Saccharomyces cerevisiae S288C: one gene and its partners. The gene in region 1 interacts genetically with each later gene. Each region holds a gene or a part of one and is shown on either strand. Other genes may lie near its edges. The genes, in order: WHI5, RIM1, YKL069W and ULP2.

Region 1 (5,048 bases):
CCAAGTGTCTCATATCACAGTTAATATGATCCGAGCGCAGAACTTAGTTACTCAAGTGGATTGTGTTTATGAAAGAGATGTATGGAGAAAATTTGGAATTAATTCATATTCATACTCATAGATTAATAAATCACTGATGATAATGCAGTATCCTTCGGAAAATTCTTAGAATATTTAATATAACAAAATGGCATGTACCTTTTGGAGTTGATGGAGGTGAGAATATAGAAAGCTTTTTATATAAAAATGTACTTATTGTCTTTCATTTCAATTTTGAAAAATGTCTGAATTGTTCATGAAATTGTCGTTTGTGGCAGCCGACATAGCGTCCATGGGGAACCTGCTTGGATTGAATAAAGTGTTATCAAATGAACCGTTTTCAATAGCCGGTATGGGAAAATCTTCTGAGTTTGTTTGAACATCATAAGAGGAAATTGTTCCAGATTTTTTTCTATTTTTCCTCATCTCTGCCGACATATTTTGATTATAATAAGAAGATCTTTTTTTGAATTGAGGTCGTGATGGAACCTTCAATGGTGATTTCTTTAGCCGTAAACTAGATGCACCGATGGCAAACGATAAAGAATTTGCCTTCTGCCTTGTACCCTGCTGCGTGAATGAAGATTTTGAACGTTGTGGAGATGTAGAAGGCGATGGAGAAGGCGATAACATATCCATTTTCCTCTTGTTGAAGGTAGAAGATGGAGAAGGCAATGGCTGAAGAGGAAATCTTCCCGGTGCCGCTGTTTTGTTGGGAGACTTGATAATTGATAGTGAATTGGAGGAGGATTCTTCCAAGTCAACTCCCGGCAAGTCAGCATCCATTATGGAAAGAGATTTGATTTGCTCACTGAATCGAGGTTGGTAGAATTGTAAAGGGTTTTTTATTGACGAAGAGATTATTATTTTCTCCTTTAGGAATGTGATGGCCTTATCCAAGGCGAATTCTTGGCCACAGTTATTTTGAATCATGGAAATTTTCGGCCAAGTAGCTCTTGCACCTAAAGTAGTTTGGTGCAATAGGAAAAGTTGAGATGGGTTCTTCAATACTTCGTGGAATTGACCAACCATTGATAGATCGGGTAAAATTGTGACATTGCCAGAGTATTGTTGTAAAAAAAGGTGTTTCAATTTGGTCATCAAATAGGGATGGAACTCAAGCTCCTTTAGGATGTCTAAAAAATGAATAGTTTCGTCGGAAAAAAATTTGAAGATCTTTGTTACTTGGTTTCTGAAACGGGCGGTAATTTCCTTTTCAATTTCACCCCCAACGCAAGTGTTTGAAAACTTTAACAGGGGAAAGACATGTATATTTACCTGGCAGGCGATAATGTGGTCGACATTGAACATTTCAGAAAGACGAGAAATGGGCATGTCATTATCTACAGATCCGTCCATGAATTTCATGTTTGATAAATGTAAATTTGTTGCCCCCCACTCTTTAATCTTTCCAGTGTGAGGATCTTTCTCGAATAGCGGCGTGGAGGGGAAAACTCCAGGTAGAGAACAAGATGCGCATACGGCAGACCAGATGAGAACGTTTGGAGCGGTTAAATTGTTTAGTAGTTTCGGCTGTTCGTATATGGAAGCAGGCGAGACTGTGATATTCAGGATTTTTCCAGTCTTGTTGTAGGCTTCCCTAAAGGTCAAGTTTCCTAAAAACGAAAGCATTGTGTTAATCAAAGGTTGATTATTGAACCAGGTACCGTTTTGGCAGAACCTCGATATCTTGATTAGTAAGTTTTCGTTGGGAGATTTGGAATTGTCGTCATTGAAGATGTTAAACTCCATATTAAGTACATTGGTCAACAAGGAGGGAATTTCCTGGGTCGTGTGGACGCAAAATATGCTGGCAACAATGGCGCCAGCACTGCTACCGCTGATCACCTTAGGCATCAGGTCCGATTCAAAAAGGGCGGCAAGAACACCAATGTGGAAAAGGCCGAAAGTGCTCCCACCGCTAAGCACGAGAGCCGTGCGCCCTATGTTTCTTCTCGTCTGTTGCAAAATACCGAGGAGATAGTGATCGTTCATATTTGACTGATGGATCAGCGCGGTGAGCACTGCTTGAGACTCTTCTAGGTAGTCATGTATAATTTGTTTTGTGCCGGTATGCGAGTGCCTGTAAAGATTAACGTTATTCATGTTGCCAAGATTACGGACCCACTTAGTTCTAATCAGATAAAGCAGGCGGTGGTAGTCGTGAGTGGTTCTCAAATGGCGCATACGGATGGTCAAGTCTTGCAGCAGCTTATAGTTATACAACGAGGACTCGTCGATTGTTTTCCATTCGGAAAGTCCCGTTAAGTCGTCTAATCGCGACGCTATGTCATTCCATTGATCGTAGGAGATGGCGTGTTTTTTCTGGGAAGACAAATCGGATATGAGCAGCTGTTTACGGGAGAGAGTCTTGTGGTATAACCATTTGAAGAGCGATGATGAGTCTGTGGCAGGAGTGTTGGAAAGTTCGTAGTATTTGGATAAAAGAAATTCTGTTACTGGCAAGGTATTAGACATAGCAACGAAACAGAACCGTCTTCCTTGTGCTGTTTATGATGTCTTTTGTCTCCTATTGTTTTCGAATTTTATTTTTTTTTTTTTTTATTTTTTTATTTTTTTTTGTTTTATATAATTCCTCGCGCTGCCTTAATGATAATTCTTGATTTACTAATTGTTTCATGACTTCTGGTGCTAAAGGGAAGGGGGAAAAGGGAAGCGAAAACTTCAAGAGCAGAACGAAAAAAATAAAAAAAACAAAACAAAACAAAACAAAACAAAGGCAAAACAAGGCAAAGAACCTGATGGAAGAAAGCACAACCAGATATTAATAGCAACGAAAAATAGTAGAGACATTGAAGAATATGAGTTTGAGAACGCCGAAGAGAAGCAGGACTAGCGATGAACAAGAACAAGAACAAGAACAAGAGCAGGTACAGAACCCAGATACACATGTAAACAACGAGCATCAGCAGCGACCTGGGCCAACCACTCTATTGAGCACGCCAGTACGTCTCAAAAATGGCTTTGGAACACCATCGCCGCCGTCACCACCAGGCATAACGAAAAGCATCACTAAATCGAGAAGAAGGCCGTCGACAACGAGTCTTCAGGGTATATTCATGTCGCCCGTCAATAAGCGTCGTGTCGGCATAACCGCACATGGACGTGTATATGACCATAACGACGACGGACACGAAAGTGAGAGTGAGGACGACGAAAATGAAGAAGAAAATGAAAATCAAAAGAAGTACGACGGACACGTTAGTATGCCTTTGTTGCCACCGACAACGCCCAAGTCAAGACGGTCGGAGGTGTTTCTGTCGCCGTCGCCGCGTTTGAGGTCACCTCCGACGGCTGCGCGTCGGTCTACGGGCGAGCGGCCCATCCGCGAAATATCACATACTTTGCGCACCAGGCTCAATTACGCGTTAGTCAAGCTGCAAAATGGATGGACGGACAAGACACTTCCCGAGCTGGAGACGGAGCTTGCTCCAGCAGTGCAGACGCCGCCACGTCGCTATCACAACAGATTTCCAGATAGTGCAGACGCGGGTACTTCCGCGCATACAGCGTTTCTTCAGGCGCTCGGAGGCCACCCACCACGGGAGGAGGCCACGGCTGTCGAAACACTGATGCTATTGTCGTCGCCTACCAAGAAGCAACAACACCGACCCGTGCCGGCGACATCTGCTGGAGAACCCACGGACGAAACGGAGCCCGAGTCGGATACCGAAGTGGAGACGTCTTAATGTGGTAGTACGAGTTTTTTCTCCGCAATCTCGGAGTTAGTGCAGCCGCGCCCGCTGCTGCACCCTTTAGCATATATATAAAGTGCGTAATGTGCGTGCTAAAAAAGCTCACTAGTGCGTACTCTGCTTATCTCTGCGTATCCGCCGATCAACATCCGCGGCTAAAATGGAACAGAACAGGTTCAAGAAAGAAACGAAAACTTGTAGCGCTAGCTGGCCGCGCGCACCGCAGTCGACGCTGTGTGCGACAGATCGCCTCGAGCTCACATACGATGTGTACACTAGCGCAGAGCGGCAACGCCGCTCTCGCACTGCCACTAGGCTTAACCTTGTGTTTTTGCACGGCAGCGGCATGAGTAAGGTGGTATGGGAGTACTATTTGCCGCGTCTGGTAGCCGCCGATGCGGAGGGCAATTATGCCATCGACAAGGTTTTGTTGATCGACCAGGTTAACCACGGTGATTCTGCGGTACGCAACCGCGGCAGACTCGGCACCAATTTCAACTGGATCGACGGGGCCCGCGACGTGCTCAAGATTGCCACATGCGAGTTGGGCAGTATTGACAGCCACCCGGCACTAAACGTAGTCATCGGCCACTCGATGGGCGGGTTCCAGGCTCTTGCGTGTGACGTCCTGCAGCCCAATCTGTTTCATTTGCTCATCTTGATCGAGCCTGTAGTAATCACACGGAAAGCCATCGGCGCCGGGAGGCCAGGGCTTCCGCCCGATTCTCCGCAGATCCCAGAAAATCTTTATAACTCCCTACGTTTAAAGACGTGCGACCATTTCGCTAACGAGTCCGAATATGTAAAATATATGAGGAACGGTTCCTTTTTTACCAATGCGCACAGCCAAATCCTGCAAAACATCATCGATTTTGAGAGGACAAAAGCCTCTGGAGACGATGAAGATGGTGGACCCGTTCGCACGAAGATGGAGCAGGCTCAAAATCTCCTCTGCTACATGAACATGCAGACTTTTGCGCCTTTCCTGATCAGCAATGTGAAGTTTGTGAGGAAGCGGACTATCCACATTGTGGGCGCGCGCTCCAACTGGTGTCCTCCGCAAAATCAGCTGTTTTTGCAGAAAACTCTACAGAACTACCATCTCGATGTCATTCCCGGCGGCTCCCACTTGGTCAACGTTGAGGCTCCGGACCTGGTGATCGAGAGGATTAATCACCACATCCACGAGTTTGTCCTTACCTCCCCGCTGCAGTCCTCACACATTCCGCAATTGACCCTTGAAGAAAGAGCGGTGATGTTTGACCGGGCTTTCGACTCGTTCAAGAATGAAGC
Region 2 (7,434 bases), on another chromosome or scaffold:
AATCTTGAAATTTGAAGTTTCTAAAATGCATCAGACATGGTGTCGTAATTAGTTGACTTACTTTAACTTCTACCAAGAAGTAGAAAATAGCAGAGTGCGTGAACGCATAGCAGAGAACAAAATACTTACTAAACCTTTTCGAATAAGTTAGCAAGAAGCTTTTAAAAACATAGACTTAGAAATTGTCCTGCACTTGGCAAGGAAGAAAAGAAAGATTAGTTAAACAGAAATCGAAAAATGCATGATGAAAAACTAAGTAGACCTCTTTAGAAGTGTCTTAGCGGCTATTGTTCATGATACTTTTGAAAAGAGCCCTGAGATTTTCCATTACCATCAACAGGACCAATGAATAGCTAAAAGAATCGAATGTATCTATCGGAAAGGATTTGAAATTTCGGCCATTTCCTCATTATGAAGTTCAACTTCCATACTCTCGTCGTCGCCATCATTTTCATTATCCTGGTTGTCGTCATCGTCATCTTCTCCGGGCATGTCATTAGCATCTATATAAGGAACCTGTTTCTTAGACAAATTCTCTTTTATCTGTAGTGAGCGTATGACGACCGAGACAATTCCGCTTGATATTGCCGTAGCCAAGAGGGCGTAGCAACCTCTCTCAAACTTGGGCACCATATCTGAAGCAAAGAATAATATAGACCACCATGCGTTAACGGCCCCTGAAAACATATTCATGGAAGCAAGAACGATAGCACGTTCTTGAAGATCTGCATGACAAATAATGTTTGCCCACGAAAAAAAAACCGCTTGTCCAGCGTATGCTACGCCTCCAAGATACTGTGCAGAAAAGACGACTTTTGGATTTAGTGGGTCTGCACGTATTAGTACCGCAACAATAACCATTACCAATGATATGAAAACAGAAACATGCCAATGCCTAGCTCTTGGGATCTTACTCATATATACAGCAGAACAAAGCGTAGAAACTATACCTACGGCAAATATCCCCGAAGGATAATTATTTCTTTGCGCCAACGTATATTTTTGGTTTTGTAACCATAATGCAAATGTAGAATTAGATGCGAAACCCAAGTTCTCACCTCCCAGAACCCAAACAAGAGAGAACATCCACCAGTGCCACCTTTTTAAGACTCTAGGAATAGTCGACCAGTCTAACCGGGTGCTTTCGTCCCTAGCGGGGAGCCTTCTCCTAGCATAATGTAGCTCTTGTTCATTAAAAATGTATCTCGTCATAGAAAATTTGCTAACAGCACTTGTTTGATCAGGAAGGCCGGGGAAGAAAATAAACCCATAAATTGCAATGGGTAATGTGATACAAAAATCAATAATGAATAACCATCTCCAACCCGCCAAGCCATTCCGCCCATTCAAATGAGTAAAGATACTTGTTTGCATAAATCCACTGAACATAGATCCCACCAAACCGCTACCTGTAAAAATAGCACTTCTAATGGGCAATTCGTCTTCTTTATACCACGAACCCAAAACAAAATGTGTTCCTGAAAATGTGCAACTCTCAAATAAGGCTTGAAAGAATCTAATTGCGCAAATATGTTTGAACGATGTAACTTTGTACATTCCCAAGGTCAATAAACCCCAAGCAAACGTACAAAAACTTAGCCATATCCTGGGCGGAACACACAATAACATTAAATTATTGGGGACCATACCTACAATGTAACCAATCATGAAAACTGTGTTAGACACGGTCAAATCGTTTCCGACCATCTTAAGATCTTCCTTCATACCGGATATATATGCATTGGTGAAACCGACACGGTCGACATAATTAATCCAGTATTGCAAGCAAACAAATGATAGCACAAACAAGTCTATTTTAAACAGAAGTAATCTCTTTTTAATGGCACGCTTGGAAGAAACAGATTCTCTCTCAACCTCATGTTGAGTGATAGATTTCGATTCCTTCATCATGACTTAGGCCCAGGCTCTCTCCAATCAAAAATTCTGAAAACAGCTTCTCAATCTTGAATAAATCGGAATACTTTTATATCAGAATTACAGGTCCGCCTCATTTCTCTTAAGAGCCGATGTCTTCCTTTACAATATACGCATGTAGAAGATTTGATCGATGCTGAGTTCTTGTAATTCGTCAAAAATGCCTTTCAAGATCGACTACTCAAAATCTACAATAATCGGACTGCATGGATCAATGGAGGTGTAGGCAATTTTGTAACAATGAAGGATATGTTAAATTCGCTAAAGCTTCCTCCTCTTTTGCTAAATTTCATCATCAAAAAGCATTTTGCATAACACACGTTAACCAATATATTATAGTATATATACATTCTATTTGAGAATAAGCATAGTTTTACATAACTAGTTCGTTATTCCAAATGTATTTTTCCTATTTGCCATAAATATTTTAAGTAAAAGAAAGCATGCTCTAGATAAAAAATATCGAGGAAGAGTCGAAATAAGCAAGCGTAAATATTACAATTATTCTGAAGAAGCAGCATTTTCTTGGCCCTCAGCATCTTCTAATTTCTTCCCATTCTTCAATAAATTAATGTCCTTTTGAACTAAGCTCAAAGTAGTACCCTTAGAACCGTCGTCTCTCTCGAAGACATAGTTAGCAGCATCTGCTTCAACATATACCAAAGCGCTGAATAAATTATGGAAAGGAAATGTTAGTAAATTATAACGCGTAATTGTAAAGTAAGTAAAATTGAAGAATAAATAACATACCCTTTTCTAACATATTCTGTCAAAAAATTGATTTGAGGTTCATTGAAAACGGTGATATTATACCAATTGGTTTGGCCATCTCTTCTTGGTTGCGAAGCGATACTATATTTCAAATAACGATTGTTATTAGCAGAAGTATGTTCAGTGAATTCAGAGCCAATGCGGCCGACGATGGACATTTTCGAGAAGTCCATCTTCTTGGTAGTAGCATGGAAGAAACGAGCTTGAGTACGTAAAAACATTACAATGGATTAGTGGATTTTTGTTTGTTTTGTATTTGTCAAGGACACACAATTAGCAAATGACTTGTTATCAAATTCGTGGTATTTGTCTTTCTCAACTACTGTGTTAGCTTTTTTTTTTTCGTCTGGGCGCAAACGCCTTTTAAGCACTCCTCCACAAATAATAAGTATTAGATGAAAAGTCCTAAAAGTCCGAAAAATGGAATAGAAAAGAACGAAAATACAGAATCTTTACAGAACATTATAGTACATAAGTGTAGTTCTACGTAAGTCTTAAACAAAGGTTTCAAAAGGAAAATATGATTTAGCGGCGCCACCTCCATAAATTATGGATTAGCAAACAAAAGAACAATTAATATTGAAAAATAGAAGCATAGCAGAAATATCAAGCGAGACCATGGTAGTTACCAGTGGTCAAAGTTCTTTTTGTGTTTACATCGAGCCACTCACCACCAAATGGATTGTTTTCATCCAGCTCCTGACAAGTCAAGGTGATTCCACTGCCGGCTCCGCTATGGGGTAGAGCCACGTTATCCGTCTCACTGATAGTGAATTTGGTAATCACGCCTTTAGCGGATTCATGTGCCAGGCCGTCTGTAATAAATCTGGCGATTAATCTTTGACCTTCACCATTTCTTGTCAAAACAACTGGTTCTTTAAATCTCCACGTTATTCTCTTCTTTTCTTTACTGAAGGAGCCCTGAGGTTTTGATAAAGCGCTTGTTGCATTAGCACCATCGATATTCACAAAGACAACGAGGTCTTCTATTACGATTTGTGATATTTCATCGGGTAAGCTTGGTGACATCTTGACAGTCAATACAACACTTGCCTGGTGAGATTCAAATCTCCAGACCGGATGAATAACAATAGGCGCGATCGGCTCCTTTATGGAATATTTAATAGCTCCTAAGGTTCTAGAATCGATAAATGAAGGGTTAACTTTGAATTCTTCTGGAGCAACACGCTCAATAAAGGCTTGGTTCAGAATGACCTTTTCGAACTTAGCGCCATTATTGATTCTCAAATTAATACCGATAGGTAAAGGCGAATTCATGACAGAATTGGGTAAATAGTTGAGGGCAATTTCCCCAATCAGTTGGGAGTTCTGCAACATACCGTCTTTGAAAGAAGCATTGAGCACTTCTGCGATACTAGCATTCAACCCAAATTGAGATGTATCTAAAGAGGAGTGCTGAAACAACGATTGACCAACTAAAGATGTTGAAGAGCCCGTGGCTTGAGGATTTAGTTCTCTTAGCTCGCCAGTAATCTGAGAGGAGAGTGTGGAAACTGGACGTTCCTGGGGAATAGAGGACAAGGAAGAAGAAGTAGGGGTAGCGCCTGAGCCGTGATTAGGCAAAGAGTCATAGAGTTGAGAATCCCTGTTATGAATGAAATTTTGTTTCCTTGAGGGTGGTAAAGCAGGTGCGCGGATATGCAAGGGCCTTGAATCAACTTGACCTGAAGGTTGGTTATCAACCGTAGCAGTAGGAAGTGAAATACTGGGAGAGGCAGGCTCAACTGGTAATGGTTTTGTTTTTGATTGTGGCTGAAGTGGAGGTTGAGAAATTGATATCGGTACTGTCTTGGGTAAGTTACTTGAGTCTGGTTCTTTCGCAGTGGGTGGAGAACTTTGTTGTGGCGTTGAAGGAGGCACTTCAGAAGGAGTAAAAGTTTGCGCAGGTGGTGTATCGGCAGTAACAGGTGCATCTACGTTTTTAGGAGTAGCATGGGGAGGAAGAGGAGGAGTGTCACTAGCTTCACCCGGGGTCCAATTGTTTGATTTTGATGATGAATAGGTGGGTCGACGTTGCTTCTGATAAATAGAAGAAGTTGCAGTTGAAGACACTCTGGTGGAAGAATTATTCGGAGTCTCAGTGATGGATGCCTGAATATGAGAGTTTGATGATGATTGTTGTTGTCTCTTGTTCTTGGTCTTATTTCTACCGAAAATTGAGCCCACTTTAGATCTTAGGGTGTGGGACGACTTTTTTGATTTCAAGGAAGAATTATTAGTAGAGTCTGAAAATTCGTTATTCATGAGATCATTATGAGTGAGACTGGAAGATGCAGAGGCAAGACGATGTCCAATGTTTCCAAATGCACTCTTACGCTTATCCTTTTGTGGGGATTTCTTTTCTCTTTCCGTATTAGCGGCACCATTGGATACAGAGACCGGGCGGGCACCAGTGGCAGAAGCTGGCGAAGCATTATTAGGAACTACTTCTTTGGAAGAAGAGGATAGTTGGAAGTTGTATTGACTGGCATCTTTGGCAAAACGATCAATTTCACTTTGCGGTTCGAATGCCAGGAATTTCGTCATCACCGTTTCGCATTCTTTGGTAGTATTTAGTAAATAATCGCTAAAACTGGTTTGAAATCTAAGCATACAGTTTTTTAAAGTGTCCAAACGGTTATAGTCAATAGTCTCGAACAGCTCAAACAAATAGGGGCTTTGCTGGTCCCATTGCCTTCTTGCCTCTTCTAAGTGACTAGAGTTTTCGTTATTCTTACTATAGTGCTCAATTGAAGCTGCATTTTTACTAAGCTTGGAATGTAAGTCCTTGCTTTCTCTCCAGCTAGTATTGTTCTCCACGGATTCCTTCAATTCACGAACGACTTGCTGGTCCAAAGTGTTGTAGTATTCTGTACTTGACTTCAAATCTGATTTTAGTTCTTCAATTACAGTATCCCATACATTTCTTAGCTCTCCCAGCGAGTTGAATCTGAATGCACTCATTTCCTGCGGAGTCAAAACATTACTTTCAATCATTTGAGCGTTTAAGATCTTTGTTATATCTTCATTTTCAGCTATTATTTTTCTCAATTGCTGAGCATAGTTCCTCTTCAGATTTGCCAATTCCTTAAATAACAGGTAAAAGTCTTTATTCAACAATTTGACCTGCGATAACCTGATTCTAATAGTTTCGGTAGCCTCGTAAGGACTCTTAGTAGTCAATATGCTATCTGCATATTTGGTTCTTTGTTCCGTCATGAGAGGTGATTATTCGCAATTTTCAAATAAGCTTGCTTCAATACGACTACAGCAAAAGTAATTCCTTTATTAAGGCAATAACTACGAGACCTTTTCTTTGTATTTCGTGAAAACTTGAATGCAATATAGAGTTTTTCAATCTGCAAGTACTTAAGGGGCCCTTTTAGCTACACATAATATAGAAATGAAAGATCACGGGCTACGAAAAGCCATTCATAATCATATACAAATATCACCTGTAATATATAAGAATATATGAGCTATTGATTTTCTTCTACCGCCTGATTTAGTTGTTTTCACTCTTCAAAACTAAATTCAGTATTAGCGACAGTGGAGGTGCTAGTACTCTGTAAATGAAAGTAAACGCTGGTATTCATGTAGAGCACCAACCTGACTGTGAATGCGTAAGCTGAAACATGATAGCCGCCTGTAAAATATTGTTATCAATAAGTAGACCGGCTTACACGAATAGGATTCGCTTTATTCTTTACTCCCCACTCAACCCTAAGCAATGTTCAAAATAGTGTGAGATTATTTTATGCGCGCCTCCTTCAAAAAAAAATTTACATATATAACATAGGTGGAAAAACTTCCCTCCGATGTCTAATAAGTTAATCAATAGAATGAAATGGACACGAAAAGGCGTAGACATGGAAGATGACAATGACGAGAACGTCATTTTTTTTTCCACGTATTTTAAAAAGGGGTAGCCTGCTTCACCAGATGTTCTTGTCAACAAAATTCTAAAATGATGATTTTTTTAAACACAATTTATGCTAGATAGTATCTGAAAGCATTCAAACTTTATGATTACAGTGTTTTCGACAGTTTTAAATCTCTGAACCGATTTTGTAACTCTTGGTAATTGTGTCCTTACATTTCCGTAATGACGTTAATCAAATCGCAATCTTGAATCTTCTTAACTAAAAGGTTATAAGGGCTTTTTTTTATTACTAAATTGACGTATGAGCTGATTTGATTATGGGCGCTATATAATTATATGTACACATTTTTTAACTGTAAAAAATAATACGGCAATACAAGTACAATACATGCATAACTCATAATCTTCTACCTCTTCTACCACCCTTCTTTCTGGTGGAGTCAGATGGAACTGGGGTAACATCTTCGATACGGCCAATTCTCAAACCAGATCTGGCCAAAGCTCTCAAAGCAGCTTGACCACCTGGACCTGGAGTCTTGGTTCTAGTACCACCGGTAGCTCTGATCTTAACGTGAACGGCAGTGATACCGACTTCCTTACACTTAGCGGCAACATCTTGGGCAGCCAACATAGCAGCGTATGGAGAAGATTCATCTCTGTCAGCCTTAACCTTCATACCACCAGTAACTCTGGCGATGGTTTCCTTACCAGATAAATCGGTAACATGAACGAAAGTATCGTTGAAAGAAGCGTAAATTCTAGCAACACCAAAAACTTGGGAATTGTCACGAGCTTGAACAACGTCTAAATGGAAATAGTAAATCGATATCGGACGATATCAAACG
Region 3 (7,364 bases), on another chromosome or scaffold:
ACTGGAATTCATTTGACCAAACAATCCATTTCTATTATTGGTTGTATTACCTAAAGTGTTGTTGCTCTGGCCAAACAGCGACCCTGAACCAACTGGTTTTGATCCGAAGGAACTGCCCCCCAGCTGATTTTGATTACCAAACGCATTATTGGTGTTTTGAGATTGCTGTCCAAATAGACTTCCTTGTTGATTATTTGTCCCAAACGCTGAAGATTGTTGGTTGCCAAACAAGCTGCCGGTAGTATTGCTTTGTGAGTTGTTCCCTGCCCCAAATATGTTAGAGCCGTTGCCATTTAAGCCTGTTCCGAAACTACTTCCGGTGTTTCCGAATGTGCCAGTGGTACTTGTACTTTGGCCGCCAAATAAACTAGAAGTACCTGCACTATTATTATTCTGCGAACCAAACAAGGTCCCTCCTGTATTCGGTTTATTGAAACCAAACGGGGAATTGGTACTGTTACTGTTATTATTAAATGCATTATTGGTATTACCACCAAAAGAACCCATTGAACTGGATCCTCCAAAAGTGTTCCCATTACTGGCATTTGAGGAGTTTAACGACCCAAATGGTGAGTTTTGGGTGGCACCCATTGACTGGCCAAATGCCCCATTATTTTGAGTATTGTTATTTCCAAATAAACTGTTACTATTACTGCCAGCGGCAGAAGTGAATCCACCAAATCCTGATTGGGCATTGTTACTGGTGGAATTGTTGTTGTTATTGCTATTTCCAAAAAGAGAGTTTGGTTGTTGCGATTGTTGCCCACCGAAGGATGACGTATTTGATCCAAAGGAAAGGTTGCTCCCTCCAAACATTGGTCTATTGTTGCCAAACATTGTTAGTACCTGAAAAAATTCAATGTACTAATAGTCCGGAATCAAAGCTAAAATATTTTGGTTAACAAAGACTGTTCTACGATATGTTATTTTCTTCTCCTCTTCAGGTCCAAAAGCGGTGGTCATTTGTAGATGACTTCAGCATAAATATGCTTTTTTTTTTCATGCTTTTTTTCTTCGCTTACGGCAAATATTTAAGGTGTCACGGTGATTGCAAGATGGGTAACACTTTCCGTTCTAACTAAGCATCAGAACATAATACAATCTAATCTTTGTCTAATAATCGACCAAAGAAATTTCCTAATGCTAAATGTTTTACTTTGAGAACGTTCTTGGAGAAGTCTCATTCCGATGTGCGGTTAACCTCTACTCCTATCAGGATAATGCTGCCCTTACTTGCAATAAACAGGTAGAAAAATACTAAAATACTGCAAATGTTTTCCATTAAAAGTTATTCTACACAATAGCTATTAAATTTGTGGTAAAGAGGTGAAAAAAAAAAAAACCTCTATAGCTTAATAAACTAAAAATTCGTACTATGCATAAGTAATCAAAACATGCATCTACACAAAAAAAATTGAAAAATCTATAAAAACACCTTCCTAAAAAATGAATATCGCCAATATCTATAACAAAAAGTCTCACCGGTATACAAGGATTGTTCAGAACAGCTAGCCAAACTTTAACAACCTCCAGCATTGACAATTAAAAATGTGAAAATAAAACAGCTAAACGAAATTACCGCCAAAATTGGTCTCACAGTTTACCAAATTTTTCCGTCATAGCACTCATTTGAGTCCAATATTTTAACTTAACGGGAGTTAAAGATCCTGTGTTGAGGTCTACCATCAGGTCTTCATCTTCTATTTCTTCCTGAGTTTGACTTAAAGCTTTTTGAAAACTTCCTTGCTTTTGTGTTTGAGAAAAGAGCCCATTTGACCTCTTTGAAGTACTTGATTCGTAAAGGTAACTGACGGAATGGTTTGCCTGCATTGTAGTTGATGATATATAATGTCGTTGATTTATGAGTTACTAGATGGCTACCATTAAGTCTCACTTGAAAATTCGCGGGAGCTGAGAGATGCAAGCATGTAACATTAGGTTCTGTAGTTATATATGATTGTTTCTTCCATTGCCTACATCAGAATCGAACTGTTCTAGGGCCTCACAGTCGAAACAAAAGTTTAGCGTTGTTTCGAGAAATGGCCGCACGAATGGCGATAGATGTCGAAATGCCACACTTTTAATTTTCTCGTTGCGTTTTTTTTTCTTTTTTGCCCTTAGCAGAGGGCAAAAAAGTGACAGAGGAGCCACAACTGCGGCCCGCGTGAACAAAAAACCCCATGATCTTTCTCAATTTTTTATTCGCATGCGACTCCTACATACACGGGACCTGCAAGGTGGTGCGGTGCAGCCACACGGAAGACTATTGTATACATATGTGATTGAAAATGCTTCTTTCCTTGAAAAGAAATAAAGGGATGCTACCTCTTCCTGTGGCACACCTTTCCTTGGACTTTGTATTGAGTAAGGATCCAGACACCTTTAGTGGCGAGCTTGATAATCCAGGTAACACAATATCGCCAATGATTTTTATCAAGTAAGACTATCGCATCCAGAAGATTATTAGTTTAATGTTGTTCGATAAGGCCTATTTTTAGGCTCTTTTTTCAACATTTCCAATCGTCATGTGAAAACTGTACAAGCCACTTAATTTCTCAAAGACCTCGCCACAGAGAAAAGCTCATATCTGTGGCATCACTTACTGCTTCTATGCATTGATAAATCTAGCTAGAATTTTCACCGATATCATGCAAGTAAATGATAGAAAATCATCACAGTTACGCATCAAACACATTTTGAACGTTCCTTTCTTCTTTACGGCAAAGTAAGCATGCCTTTAGCGAGACTGGGGTGAGCTGAAGAAGAACTTGCTGCACTATAGATATGACTTTAGATGTCCGTTATTCAACAATTAAGTGGTTTCGTGGTCTAGTCGGTTATGGCATCTGCTTAACACGCAGAACGTCCCCAGTTCGATCCTGGGCGAAATCAATTTTTTTTTCCGTCAGATATCTCCGTCATTTTCGTTGACGTTTTTTTCTTACCAAGCAAAGATATTTTTAATAAATGCTGAATATCCTTTGTTTGAGGGTAAACATGCCATAAATTTGCAATAAGGGTTACAAATAAAGATTGAGAGCTGTCAATTTGGCGAACAGGGAATGTTTTCTTCACCAATGATCTCCTGAAGCCCCTCAATCTTTCTTGATGTTTATCTCTATTCGTGCCCGTCCGACAATATATTTGACAAGAGAGCTACATGGGAATATTGGTTATGTGCGTAAATACTTGTTCGTTCTCAAAACTCTTATTTAAAGACACATGATTTATTAATTAATTTAGCAAGTTTTTCTAGGAATTCTTTGTCTACGTGGTCGAATCCTTCGTAATCCAAACAATCTATGTCTATGACGCCCAATGTCTTACCATCATTGGATATGATTGGAACAACAATTTCGCTCTTGGTTTCACCGTCGCACGCAATATGACCGGGATACTTGTTGACATCTGGAACAATCTGCGTTTCCTTTGTAGAGGCTGCAGTTCCGCAAACACCTTTACCGAATTGAATCATTTGGCAAGCGACCTTTCCTTGAAATGGGCCCAATATCAGTGTGTTTTCTTCGCTAGCTTGAGTAACGTAAAATCCAGCCCAATTGATATCAACAGCTAATGACTTGTACGCATGCCAGATCAATGACGAAGCGTTTGACAAATTACAAACCCAATTGACTTGTCCATCTGATAGCCCCTCGTATGAAAGCAGAAGCTGTTCTAGAATTTCTTCCTTATTCAGATTTGAAGAATAGTTAACATGATCGGCATGATGAAACCCGGTTGATGAGCCCATATCTGTTTGTTTTTTTTTGTTTTTTTTTCTAATTTACGGATTTGTTTTATCAGCAAACGCCTTTGTTTGCTTACATTTGGGAAAATCGTCATCATATAAACATGAAGAAACCGATGATATTAGCGTTCGTTAAAAAGGATAATACTTCGTTGTAAACTCAACTGTAAATATCTTTCTTCATTTCCTCCAAACATGGTTTTCTAACTGCAGGGAATAGGTAAACCTTTGCGTTTGTGTTCTTTCTGCATCACGGTGGGCCTTGCCCTCTGTTAAGTCAATATTAAAAGATAAGATAAGAAAAGAATGAAAACGAATAAATAATTATTGATATTTAATGCGCAGAGAAAATACAAAACTTATAAGCTACCTGGATAGTTATCTTTTACAAGGCGAGCCATTTCTTGGCCTCTTTCTCCACCAAATTCTTTGAATTTTCAACATATGCCTTCAACATTAATCTGTGATTTATTTTGGTCGAATTTGAACTTTGATTGAATATGGGTAATACTGATTTCAAGCCCGACAATGTTTTGAAGCATAGCATTGATATAATAATCTGGGGCATCAGAAACGCTCCACTTTACTTCGTACATTTTCCCCCTCAGGTCTTTTCTCTTCTTCTTGGTCAGTCAAAGTTGATAACATATTAATAAGCCAGTCTTTATCGTCGCGGATAATCCTTGGTGTACCGTAAACGTGCACAGCGGCAAAATCCCATGTTGGTACGAACTTATGGGTCTTTTTCTTCATTGGGAACCACGCCGGAGAAATGTATGAATCGACGCTCTGAAATACCACTAAGCATTTTTGAACTCTTTCCAGCATTTCCACATGTTTATTCTTCCGTGCTAAATGTGCAATAAGTTTATGCTCTCCATTATCGAACTCCACGAATACAAATGGAATATGTGATGCGCACATACCAAAATCGGGGTCATCTTTATTGGAAGAAGTTCTCCATCCGAAGAAACCTTGCCTGCTAGCCTTAGAGGAGAATAGTGTTCCTAGCGGGGGTTTTTTTGATAATTTGTACCTTGAGAGTTCCATGGACTCAAAATGTTTAGGAATGTACATTATGAAATAGATTCTTGGATTCTTCTCAGACTGGCAATTTATGTCTATAATATTAAGGGATGGTTTTCGGCGAATATGCAGAATCTTCGGTTCTAGGACCAGTTATATACCATCCTAATTAAAATCAGAGGACATAATAGAGATAGTTTCAAATCTGGTTAAGCGTTAAAAGATCAGCATACAAAGTGATGCCACAAAATACCTTCTTAAAGGGGCGTGAGGCAAAAGCAAAGTCACATCATATAGCACCTACCAATAAAAAAGTGTATTACACAAAGGTATATTCCGTATCTGAGTTGTATATAAGTAGCCAAATTTGCACTTATCTAAAAGACGCCTTCGCTGCCGTCATAGTTGAAGAACTTTCCATTATCTTCTGGTAAAATTTTTCGGAAGACATCAATTAGCGCAGAGGCACTTTCTTCTGGTGTGATAATATTTACGCCGCTGATGTCTATATTCTTCTCTTTAAAATGATCAAGGCCATATTGGCCCATATCAGTAGATACCATACCTGGGTGAAAAGCAACGACAGTAAAACCCTCCGGTTTCAATTCAAAACTGAGCGTCTTTACCGCATAATTCAAGGCAGCTTTCGATTGACCATAAGCGGAAACAGAAAGTGGTACAAACGCATTGATAGATCCTGCAACACTAGAGATAAAGAATATCTTCCTCGTCTTTTTCAAAAGAAGCAGTGGATAAACTTTTTGAAGGGCTAGTATCGGACCCAGAGCGTTTGTGCTATAATGGTTGAGCCAGACTGATTTGGGAGTTTCCAGGACCTTGTAATAAGAATCAGATACTGCAGAACATGCGATAAAAATATCAATACCCAAGAAGAATGGCGTTTTCTTGATCTCGTCCGCAATATTGCCAATACTTTCGTCCTTTGTAAGGTCAAGTTGGACAATATGGATATTCTTCCTGATTTTTGCTAAATCTTCCACTTGTTTGTTCTTGGGTAATGAAGGTGATCCACGAATAGAGGTTATAACTGTATTGCCCGTAGAAGCGCTTAAAATTTTGACCAAATTAAAACCAATTCCACGGCTACCACCGATGATAAAGTAAGTTATTCTTGATGAAGTATTCATATCGACTTTGTTTGCTTAGAATTCTACTGATTTATGCCACTGGTAAAGGCTTTATTCTTAAAAACGTCAAAAATTAGTTTTGAAGCATCGCCGCCTATTTATTATAACTGGTATACTATCTTACTTATTAGTACTACCATTTATACCGCTATGCATTACTAATCACATTACTAATCTCATTACTAATCTCATTACTAATCTCATTGCTAATCTCATTACTAATCTCATTACAAATAACTTTCTATTGAGGTATTTCTAGGGAATTGCGAAGTTGGTTTGCTTTTTATGAGACCCGCGGACGTTAATCGAAGATATAATCCACGGAAAAATTATATGTCCTGCAATTTGTGCACAGTATATTAATCGGGAACATATATGATTAGATTATTGCAAGTCATGCAAGCTAAAGTAAAACAAGCAATATCAGGAGCTCATAGATATATCATGCACACATCAGGTAGAAGATAGGAAATTATAGAAGATCTGAAGAAATTAGAAGAACTAAGCTCGACTAGCCTAATAGGAAAATGGTGTCCCTTATTTAACCTGAGAAACCAATATTTCGTAGTATCTTCTTTTTTTCTTCCATGGTAATGAGTCCAACAAACTTTGAGCTTCTAAAAAATATAAACTCCAAATGAACCTGATCAGGACAAATGTTCTCTAGGGTAGTTAGATACAAAACCTTTCGGATGAGGGATTTCTTATCCTAGCTATTTAATGAAGCAAAATAAAGCTGTTTCAAAAAGCTTAAGTGTTTGTACTTTTTTTTACCAGGTTAAAGAAACAGGAATAATTATTCGTAGAATTGCAAAATTTTTTATTGACGTACTTGTTTCTATTTTTTGAATAGTCAGTTCTTCGGAAGGCATTCAATAAGAGCCCAATATAAGGGTAAGGTGCACTTTTATACAAGCTGGCCAAAAAAACCGGGAAATGGCAAAAGTTCGAACTATTGTTTCATAGGTACTATTAAATCCTTTCATTTGGTAAAGAAAGGTGCTTGAATGACTTTGCAGACTATTTCTGTTTCCTACCGAATAAATTAGGTGCGCTTTAACGCGCAGTGATGTGTAGATCAATTGAAATGGGGAACTTGCTTATTGAATACAGGATTAAAGAGGAAATGGTACGGTACATTTTTGGATTTTGCCATAACTCACGATAAACTGTGGATGGCTGCATCAAAAGATGGAGAGTTGCTAGATGACCGTCACGTCTGCGTAGTCTCTTCACAACATGTTTTATTGACTTGGTTGATGCTATTGTAGTGATTAAAGAGAACGAGAGATAACGCAAATCAAAATTTTATGTTGTGACATTTGGAAATTGAAGGAATACTTATCTTCGAAAAGCCGGAGCAATGCTTTTACCTCGCTAGAAATAGCATGTCATGTAACATGGTAATGTTAGCTTTATAAATAACCGCGCTATTTAGTAGG
Region 4 (10,046 bases), on another chromosome or scaffold:
GATCTTGGTATCCAGTGCATCGGCAAGTTTGGCACGGTCGTACGTAGTCAAACTCTTCAAAACTGGCATGCTCTTCAAAAGATCGTCATACATGAGTCTCTTCTTGAAAGAGCTGCCCAAAAGTATTTTTCTGAAGGTGAGCCTGTCTAGAGCCCACAACAAACAGTCGGAGGTTGCTACAACGGTGGCAGCACGAGGGCTGTTGTACATAAGAGCAAGTTCCCCGAAACTGGAGCCTGGCCCGGAAGAGTTGACCTTGTTGTCGTTGACGTAGAAGTCAACAGTACCCTTTTCGACGACATAGAAGTAGTCCCCTTGGTCACCTTGCTTGATTATCGTAGCACCTTTGGGGACGGACTTCTCCTCCAGACAATTTATGACCAGCCTTTTTGAGTCGGAATCCAGCTTGTTGAACAGAAAGTTATTACGGATCGATTTTTCCAGTCTTTGCAATTGCTGCTCGGACTTTTCCTTATAGTGATCTGGAGTCCAATCGTCAAAATTGTTTGGTTGTAAGGTCTCACCACTAACAGAAGTACGCCTTTGGGCGTTGAAGTGCATTGGGAGTGGAGGAGTTGATGTCTTTTCTCTAGTATGCTGTTGTTCTTCCTGTGCTTGCTGGTGAGTGTCCTGTTCGTGCGGGTCTAAATTAAACCCACTTTTAAACACGTTGGAGTGTGGGTCCTCGTTCACAAAGGGGGATTTGAACATAACACTCGATCTGGATCTTGATTGAGATTGAGCTGATTGAGGTCTGGAAAATGACTCCTCTGGTTCCGGAAATAGAACAATGTTCTTTGCCTTAAATTCAGGCTCCCTGGCCTTGAGGAACGCTCTCTGTTGTTCCAGCCTTTTATTGAAATAGTTGGCGGAGAACTGAAGAAAGTCGGACGGATTAGCGGCGTTGATTTCGTTCTGGAACAGTTGCAATTCGGCTTGCGATTCCTTGGGCAAAGAAGATACCATCGTTTATTCTTACTGTTGTCTTTTGAAAATAATCTGCTTGTTGTAAATGATCTTCCTATTTATGTATGCGTGAAATGCGTGTAATGGATGTGATGATAGCGATCGCTTGACTTAGTCGAGGAAAGCGTAAAGTGTCCCTTTTTCTCTTTCCCTTTTCCCTGTTTGTTCAAATTTTCTCTTTTCTACCTTCCTCTTCGTTTTGCTCCTTGCCAGCAAAACGAGGAAGGACAAGAATTTTGGAGAGCGGCGGCGCGGCGCCATAATAAATGCACTTGAGCAAATGCAATAAGTTCAGCTTATGGCTTCTGCAACAAAGAAGAGGTCGGAATCCGAGCACAGTATAATCAATATATTATCAGGCAGAACAAAAGTGGCGGGTATAACACGAAGAAAGAAGGAAGGGTGGTGATTGGGTGCTTTGTTTTTTTCCGCTCGTCGTGGTGGCATGCGCTTTTTTTTTCTTGGGTGAAGATTAGCCGCCGAAGTCGTATGCTCCTCTTTTGAGCGTTTTGAAAGATAGAAAAAAGCTGAGTAAGTAAAATCGTCGGCGGCTAATCTGAAAAGTATATAAAGTCCTTTATATTTTCCACTCGTATTCTTTTCCCTCCTCCTTTTTTTTTTTACTTTCTCACGTATGGCTTGTTTCATTTATTATCAGATCAGTAATCACGTGCCGTGTCGTTAGAAATGACATTTGGTTCTTTGCCTTCTTTGTCCTTTTTCTATCTTCCTACTAAGAGAAACTATTATACAATACAATAAGAGAACATCGTGAAACAACATAAAAGATATCACGTCATCAGAGAGAGATAAAACATCACAACCAATTACATTACAGTGTATTCGTTTCTTCTTAGAGAGAGAAATAAAGAGCGGGATAAAAGGACACTACACAGTATACCCCATACCCAGGTGCAATAATACACGTATATCTATGTTTATTGCACATCAAACCCCACATATATGTCTGCCAGAAAACGCAAGTTTAATAGTCTCAAACCGCTAGACACCTTGAACAGCTCTCGTGCCAGCTCTCCAAGGTCCTCTGCTTCTCTACCGCCCAAAAGATATAACACTTTTCGTAAGGATCCGAAAATCGTTGATCATCTAAACAATGCTTCTACAAAGGATTTCTTACCAGTTTTGAGTATGAACAGCGAGAGTAAGAGGCAGATCGAATTGTCGGATAATGATGTTGATAATAATGATGAAGGTGAAGGCGTCAACAGTGGCTGTTCAGATCAAGATTTTGAACCTTTGCAAAGCTCTCCTTTGAAAAGACACTCATCACTCAAAAGCACTTCCAATGGTCTTTTGTTCCAAATGTCTAATAATCTGGGGAATGGTTCACCGGAACCGGCAGTAGCGAGCACTTCTCCAAATGGCTCAATTATTTCCACTAAACTAAATTTGAACGGCCAATTTTCTTGCGTTGATTCGAAAACATTGCGAATTTATCGGCATAAAGCACCATGCATAATGACTTTTGTCTCAGATCATAATCATCCGAAATTTTCATTGTATTTTCAACAATCGGTGATCTACAATTCACAAGTTAATCTGCTTGATGATGTTGAATTGATAATTTTAGATAAGAAGAACTCTTTTATGGCTATAATTTTAAAAGATCTGAAAAAGGTCAAGATGATACTAGACGTGAATAACTCTTCAATCAACATTAACACGAACATCTTGATATGGTCCACTGCAAGCTCCGCTTCAAATAAAAAAATAAAGTCTATTAAAAGATTCCTGTTGATGTCATATTCTTCGTCGATAAAAGTCGAAATTTTAGATCATAAAGAGCAGATTTTGGAAAGACTAAAACATCTGATTCATCCTATTTCTTCGTCATCACCTTCATTGAACATGGAAAGGGCAATAAACTCCACTAAAAATGCATTCGACTCTTTAAGACTTAAAAAAACTAAACTTTCTACTAATGATGATGAAAGTCCGCAAATTCATACTCATTTCTTATCAAACAAACCTCATGGTTTGCAATCCTTAACAAAAAGGACTCGTATTGCCAGCCTTGGGAAAAAAGAGCATTCAATATCTGTTCCAAAATCGAATATTTCACCCTCAGATTTCTACAACACTAACGGGACAGAAACTTTACAATCCCACGCAGTTTCACAACTAAGACGTTCAAATAGATTTAAAGATGTTTCGGATCCAGCAAACTCAAATTCAAATTCAGAATTTGATGATGCAACTACGGAATTTGAAACACCAGAACTGTTTAAACCTAGCCTCTGTTACAAATTCAACGATGGTTCAAGCTATACTATAACAAATCAAGATTTCAAGTGTCTTTTCAATAAGGATTGGGTTAATGATAGCATTTTGGATTTTTTTACAAAATTTTACATTGAATCATCTATTGAAAAGTCAATTATCAAAAGAGAGCAAGTTCACTTAATGTCCTCTTTTTTTTACACGAAACTAATTAGTAATCCAGCAGATTATTATTCTAATGTAAAAAAGTGGGTTAACAATACTGATTTGTTTTCTAAAAAGTACGTTGTTATACCAATTAACATAAGTTATCATTGGTTTAGTTGCATTATAACAAACTTGGATGCGATCTTGGATTTTCATCAAAACAAAGATAAAAACGATGCCATCAACTCCGATGAGATTTCTATAAATAATCCTCTGGTTAATATTTTGACTTTCGACTCGTTGAGGCAAACTCATTCAAGAGAAATTGATCCAATAAAAGAATTTCTCATATCCTATGCACTTGATAAATATTCAATTCAACTGGATAAAACACAAATCAAAATGAAAACGTGTCCAGTTCCACAACAACCTAATATGAGCGATTGTGGTGTTCATGTTATTTTGAATATTAGAAAATTTTTTGAAAATCCGGTGGAAACAATTGATGTATGGAAGAATTCTAAGATTAAAAGTAAGCACTTCACCGCAAAAATGATTAATAAATATTTTGATAAAAATGAAAGAAATAGTGCGAGAAAGAATTTAAGGCATACTCTAAAACTCTTACAACTCAATTACATCAGCTATCTGAAAAAAGAAAATTTATATGAAGAAGTTATGCAAATGGAGGAGAAAAAAAGCACCAATATCAACAATAATGAAAATTACGACGATGACGATGAAGAAATTCAAATCATTGAAAATATAGATCAAAGCAGTAAAGATAATAACGCGCAGTTAACCTCGGAACCTCCCTGCTCACGATCATCCAGTATTTCAACAACAGAAAGAGAGCCGACAGAGTTGCATAATTCCGTAGTACGACAGCCCACCGGTGAAATAATAACTGATAATGAAGATCCCGTTCGCGCTGCTTCTCCAGAAACAGCATCCGTTTCTCCTCCCATACGTCACAATATTTTAAAGAGTTCATCTCCTTTCATATCAGAAAGTGCGAATGAAACTGAACAAGAAGAATTTACGTCACCATACTTTGGAAGGCCGTCTTTAAAGACGAGGGCTAAGCAGTTTGAAGGCGTTTCGTCACCAATAAAAAACGATCAAGCCCTGTCATCCACCCATGATATTATGATGCCGTCGCCTAAACCTAAAAGGATTTACCCAAGCAAAAAAATCCCACAACTTTCCTCGCATGTTCAATCTCTATCGACTGATTCTATGGAACGCCAATCTAGTCCCAATAATACCAACATTGTAATTTCAGATACAGAACAAGATTCGAGGTTAGGAGTGAATTCTGAAAGTAAAAATACTAGTGGTATTGTTAACAGGGATGACTCGGACGTCAATTTAATTGGTAGTTCACTACCTAATGTAGCGGAAAAAAATCATGACAACACTCAGGAAAGTAATGGTAATAATGACAGTCTTGGTAAAATACTTCAAAATGTTGACAAAGAACTGAACGAAAAGTTGGTTGATATTGATGATGTGGCATTTAGTAGTCCAACTAGGGGTATTCCAAGAACCAGCGCGACAAGCAAGGGATCAAATGCACAACTTCTCTCTAATTATGGAGATGAAAATAACCAGTCTCAAGATTCTGTTTGGGATGAGGGCAGAGATAATCCTATACTCTTGGAAGATGAAGACCCTTGAAAGCACTCGCACGCATAGTTTTATATTTTTTATTCTTTTCCTCTTTATTTTTATTTTTTTAACATTCTCGCATAATAATAGTAACAGCAATAAAATAACTAGTAATATACATACTCACATAAATAGGCATATTTTTTATTTTGTTCTTTCGTATTCAGAATGGTAAATTTTTCTAATGAAATGTTTTACAAAAATTTTTTTTCTATAATTCTAACAATAAGAAATAAAACAGTGGAAAAACATATAACTTAATGTAGATATATATATGTAAATATGCTAGCATTCATTTTAAATGTAAGGAAGAAAACGCCTTTAACTTTCATCTGGTAAATTTTCTAAAGCTCTACCCTTAGTGTAAACCTCGTCTTTTACATTCTGTACAGTACTTTTGAACCATTGAATGAACAGCACAGTTGCTTGGAAAAAGAACGTAAATGACTCTAATGCTATCAGTAGTCCGAAATAAATATCTTGCATCCTTGTCCATGTTGGGAATGATTCGTTAAGCGATAAAGTGAAACTCCTGGATCCATGGCTAATATCGATAATCTGCTTTGTAGAAACATCACGTAAAAATACTAAGGATAAAATAATAATCGGCAAGACGTAAATTACCATGTGCAGGAAACCTTGTTTAAACAGTTCCAAAGCCATTGTTTTCAAGAAGTTCAATTTACTAGTATTTCTGTTTCTGAAAAATAGTTTCAATGACTTATATCCGGTTCCGAAATTGACCATTGACGAAATGATCCAAACGACGAATAACAAACTCTCGTCATATTTAAACCATTTGGAATTACCAATAGTGTATGAAGAATTGCCAAACACTCTGATGGTGAGATAATTGTAACAGGCTAGTATACCATCGGTTAAGACGACCCACGAAACCATAGTTCTAATAACCGCAATCATGATAGCTATAAACACCATCAGGTTATACTTCACCAACATACTATCAAATATACTGTTAAAGATGGCCATGAAAATTCCTTGACCCTCTTCCACATTATTGATATTATTAACAGGGGCATTGTTGATATCTCTCTCTGGTATATCGTGTTCCACTTCCTCTACTTCGTTTTCGTCAACGGCATGTTCATCGAGAGTGTTTTGGCCTTCTGTAAAATGAAGAATATCCTTAGCAATCTTGGATAAACAAACAGATCCGACACAGACATAATAAATGTTCAAATAGGAGTAGCTAATGTCAGAGAGTTCCTTCCATGCAACATAGACCTTATTTCTTTCACCTAACAATAGCTTTACGACTGGAAGAAAGCCGAAACTACAAACAAAGTTTATTAAAGCTTGACTAATAAATGTAACACCAAGCATTAAAATGGAAGCAAATAACCAAACCAGGCCAAGCAATGTCATATAGCGTAAACGGAAATCTGGAGGGACGTAAACGATATAATATTGATCATATTCCGTGTTTTGTTCGTCTAAATAACCAAATTCACCAGCAGCACGTTTGTTTCTCTCTTTAATTCTTTCCAAATCTAATGGTTTCAACAGCTTATCATCCTTTGTAACGGGGACAAACATTGTTTGTACATAATTTCTGGATACTATATCAGAAGAAGGAACACGCATTAAAACGCCATCGGGGACAAAATAAGCATGAACGTCACGAACTTGCCCAAACAATTCTTCTGCTTGTTCTAGAGTCTTTGGTTTAGTGAAAAGTTCTTGGTTTGACCATTCTGCATTCTTGGCAGCAATGTACTTGTAAAACAAATTGCGGTAAACAATATGGCCTCTCTCTGTTGGGGTATCTTTACCTAAGATAAAGGATGATAAACGTAATTTTCTTGAACATAACTTAAAAATTGTTTTCCAATACCTTTCCAATAAGGGTTTAACGTAAGAGCTAGACTCCAGGATCCTCTTCGTAAAATATAAAGTTAGCAAAATTGTATTGAACTTCCATGAAATAATTGATGTTGGTTTATAAGCTTCAGGAACGGATAATAAGTTCGATTTGAGCATGAATGGGAAAAAAATTCTAGTATGGAAGCCAAAACCTAAGACAATAAAAATCGCATAAATAAACATGGATAAGCAAAGCCTTGATAATTGAATACTCATCGGATGAATTAAACTATCATGCAAGATCTTAATATTAGGATCTTCTGGAGATCTGATAAAGAATAGAACACCTGGTCTAATGATATTTTTCCTAATCATTCCGATATATTTGGCAAACCAATACATGTAGAGAGTACCAATCGTCCAGTATACGAAAAGGGAAAATGGAGGCCATATTGCGCATATTGAAGGAACCCAAAGCATCCGACTATTGGATGCCAGGATTGGGCAAAATAATGAGAAATCTAGCATTACACCAGCTAGAATGGGGAATCCAGCCAATTCGATGAAAAATAAAGTGAACACCTTGAAAGTGCATTTGAGTGCAAATAAAATCTGGAAAATCAGCCTTCTAGTAGGGTTGCTCATTCCGTTCTCACGGCCATAACCCCTCGAGACAAGATTGGATGAAGCACAAACGATACTGACTGAGGTTAGATACGTCGTTAAAGCAGGTAAAGCTCTGATGAAAATTGAGTGCTTCATGGTGTTTTCAGTGTAGCCGTTGTAAAGATAAATGATGTCATGAATTAAGTGGTCTGAAATCCAACTCATCGCGACATCTACTTTAGGGACCAGTTTCGTCAGCCCATTGTAAGCTATATGAGCGCCAGACAAGTAGTAAAGATGGCACAACCCACGCAAAATAACCTTAAATATACCAAAATAAATTTTCAACAAACCGAACCCAATAAAAGTTGGAAACAAATAGGAAATTGCCAGGTATATTGCGGTGAAAACTACGGCAATTATGAAATAAGCAATGACATTCAACAATTTCAATTTGAGATTTATCACTAGAGGGCCTTGTCCTTGATCGTCTGGGTTAGCCTGTGCTGGTGGCACACCAACAGCTGCGCCAAAGTCTTGTTCGTCTTGATCGACATTTCCAGCTCTGTTTTGGGCAGGTGGTGGGATGAAAACCGGAGCGTTGGGCCTGTTTATTGCGTTCTGTTGAGCAGCGATTAGGTCATCAAATTCATTTTGCGCACGACGATTTGCCCACATGTCAATCGGATTGGGCTCTATATGATCACGGTAATCTGCCTCTTCTTCTGGTTGCTGCTGTTGCTGTTGCCCCTCTGCTTCTTCATCTTCTTCGTTGTCACTTGAAGACCCCGGTAAAATTCGTGACGAATCATCACCTGATGGTAAACTATTGTCAGAGTCGTTGTTCTCGTGCTCTTCCGTAGCCTCATCATGATCTAATTCGTCTACGTGGCGAAGGTTTTCAAAATTCCGATGGTCATTAGGATCCTGAGGTGGAACGTTATCGTTTCTGGGATTAATAACATTATTATTATTATCTGCTGCTGCGGCTGGCATGTTCAGTCTATCATGACCTTGCTCTTGACGATTTTCGTCATGAGCTCTCATTTCCCTCGCTAAATATTCAACCATTCTATCATCCATCATGGGGAATCTTTCCTTCAAACGTGATTTCAAGTCCTTGGGAGATAATCTTGGACCTATCTTGTGGAAAACCATTTTACTGAAAACATCCTCTCTTACTATCATATCGTATTGAAAGTACAATGCTATATGTAGTATCACTATCATAATAAATTGTAAAGACGTAAACGAATGGTTTTGTAAAAGTTGGTAAAAAATTGCTCTCGTGGTTAATTCTGGAGTTGCTGACTGATCATAACCATAAATCAAACTCTTTAGGAAATCACCAGGATAAGGGGATGATCCATCTAGCATCATGGTGTATAATTTTCCAAACATGTTCCATACCAAAGGAACACCGATAATATATAGTACAGCGGCCAAACCAATCGTTAAAGCCAAACGAGCTTTTTCGAAAAATGTCAAGATGCTCTTGGATAGTAGTAAAGAAAAAGGTATCTTTTCGGGCATGTTTTCCGCATATATCGTTTTGAATTGAATGGGATAGTGACAGATGTCACATTTAACATCCGCGCCTGGTTTTGAAATGTCTATATTTTTTGAAGCTACCCATTCCAACAGACAGGATTCATGCATGTATTTAATTGAGCCCCTGCATTTACAAGGATGGAAAAGAGGATTGTCCTCAGTAGCTTCTCCACGACAAATACGGCAGGTGGCGCCGGATGGCGCATCATCATTGAAAGTGGCGGTATCTGTTTCCTCGTTTGCCACCTTATGCAGTTCATCTCTTAACCTGGAGACATTAACGTCAGAATCAACATCCATGACTTTCACACTTCTAGTCTCTTTGATTCAATTAGTGGTACTCTTGGCTAAAAAAACAGTTTTTGAAATCAGTAACAAAGAACTATTCTTAACGTAATCTTATGGCTTCATAGATCGGTCATAATCATCTTTTCAATGTCCTCAATCGATGCGTTTTCAACCAGTTTTCCGTCTCTAATGATTTAATTTTTCTATTGAATTGAAAATGGTAAAAAGATAGCCCTGTAGGGGGCTCGAACCCCTAACCTTATGATTAAGAGTCATACGCGCTACCGATTGCGCCAACAAGGCTATTTCGTTGGAAAAACTACTTATTTTAGGAAGTAATAGCACATTTAAGATGCTTGTTGGAATGAAACTTTAAAATATCATCTGTTTAGTACTATTCATGTTACTAATTAAGATATGGGTGAATTTTGAGATAATTGTTGGGGGTTCCATTGTTGATAAAGGCTTATAATATTATGTATACGGAATATACTAGAAGTTCTCCTCGAGGATCTAGGAATCCTCATAATGGAATCTATATTTCTATATACTAATATTACGATTATTCCTCATTCCGTTTTATATGTTTCATTCTCCTATTACATTATCAATTTTTGTATTTCAGCTTCCTCTAACCTCGATGACAGCTTCTCATAATTTACGCCATCCTCTTACACCGCATGTGATGCTATTACTACTAAATAGATAACATTAGAATTTCATTCCAACAGCTTTAGTCTGTTTTAATAAAC

What was found.
Region 2: mutations in WHI5 (region 1) and RIM1 together harm fitness more than expected from each alone (negative genetic interaction), as found in Saccharomyces cerevisiae (2 studies listed by BioGRID).
Region 3: mutations in WHI5 (region 1) and YKL069W together harm fitness less than expected from each alone (positive genetic interaction), as found in Saccharomyces cerevisiae (2 studies listed by BioGRID).
Region 4: of WHI5 (region 1) and ULP2, changing one suppresses a phenotype caused by changing the other (phenotypic suppression), as found in Saccharomyces cerevisiae (2 studies listed by BioGRID).

Annotation. Positions count from the first base shown.
Region 1 is NC_001147.6:476,672-481,719, forward strand, and holds WHI5 (transcriptional repressor WHI5), read left to right. Parts: upstream 1-2,861; coding exon 2,862-3,749; downstream 3,750-5,048. Other genes in the region: DNA-binding SCF ubiquitin ligase subunit DIA2, read left to right, coding at 1-121; TGL5 (triacylglycerol lipase), read right to left, coding at 268-2,517; LPX1 (triglyceride lipase), read left to right, coding at 3,916-5,048. UniProt on the Saccharomyces cerevisiae protein: Transcriptional repressor that negatively regulates G1-specific, SBF- and MBF-dependent transcription. Binds via SBF to promoters of G1-specific genes to repress transcription in early G1.
Region 2 is NC_001135.5:170,514-177,947, forward strand, and holds RIM1 (Rim1p), read right to left. Parts: upstream 2,928-7,434; coding exon 2,686-2,927; intron 2,603-2,685; coding exon 2,437-2,602; downstream 1-2,436. Other genes in the region: FEN2 (Fen2p), read right to left, coding at 373-1,911; SYP1 (Syp1p), read right to left, coding at 3,313-5,925; 40S ribosomal protein uS11 RPS14A, read right to left, coding at 6,987-7,393. UniProt on the Saccharomyces cerevisiae protein: This protein binds preferentially and cooperatively to single-stranded DNA (ssDNS). Involved in mitochondrial DNA replication. Stimulates PIF1 helicase activity.
Region 3 is NC_001143.9:303,672-311,035, reverse strand, and holds YKL069W (L-methionine (R)-S-oxide reductase), read right to left. Parts: upstream 3,752-7,364; coding exon 3,209-3,751; downstream 1-3,208. Other genes in the region: FG-nucleoporin NUP100, read right to left, coding at 1-837; YKL068W-A (uncharacterized protein), read right to left, coding at 1,594-1,830; YKL070W (uncharacterized protein), read right to left, coding at 4,316-4,825; OSI1 (Osi1p), read right to left, coding at 5,152-5,922. UniProt on the Saccharomyces cerevisiae protein: Catalyzes the reversible oxidation-reduction of the R-enantiomer of free methionine sulfoxide to methionine. Does not act on S-enantiomer of free methionine sulfoxide or R-enantiomer of dabsylated methionine sulfoxide.
Region 4 is NC_001141.2:290,704-300,749, forward strand, and holds ULP2 (SUMO protease ULP2), read left to right. Parts: upstream 1-1,929; coding exon 1,930-5,034; downstream 5,035-10,046. Other genes in the region: cAMP-dependent protein kinase regulatory subunit BCY1, read right to left, coding at 1-966; E3 ubiquitin-protein ligase SSM4, read right to left, coding at 5,347-9,306. UniProt on the Saccharomyces cerevisiae protein: Insertion mutation in SMT4 confers temperature and benomyl sensitivity; high copy suppressor of a temperature sensitive mutation in MIF2.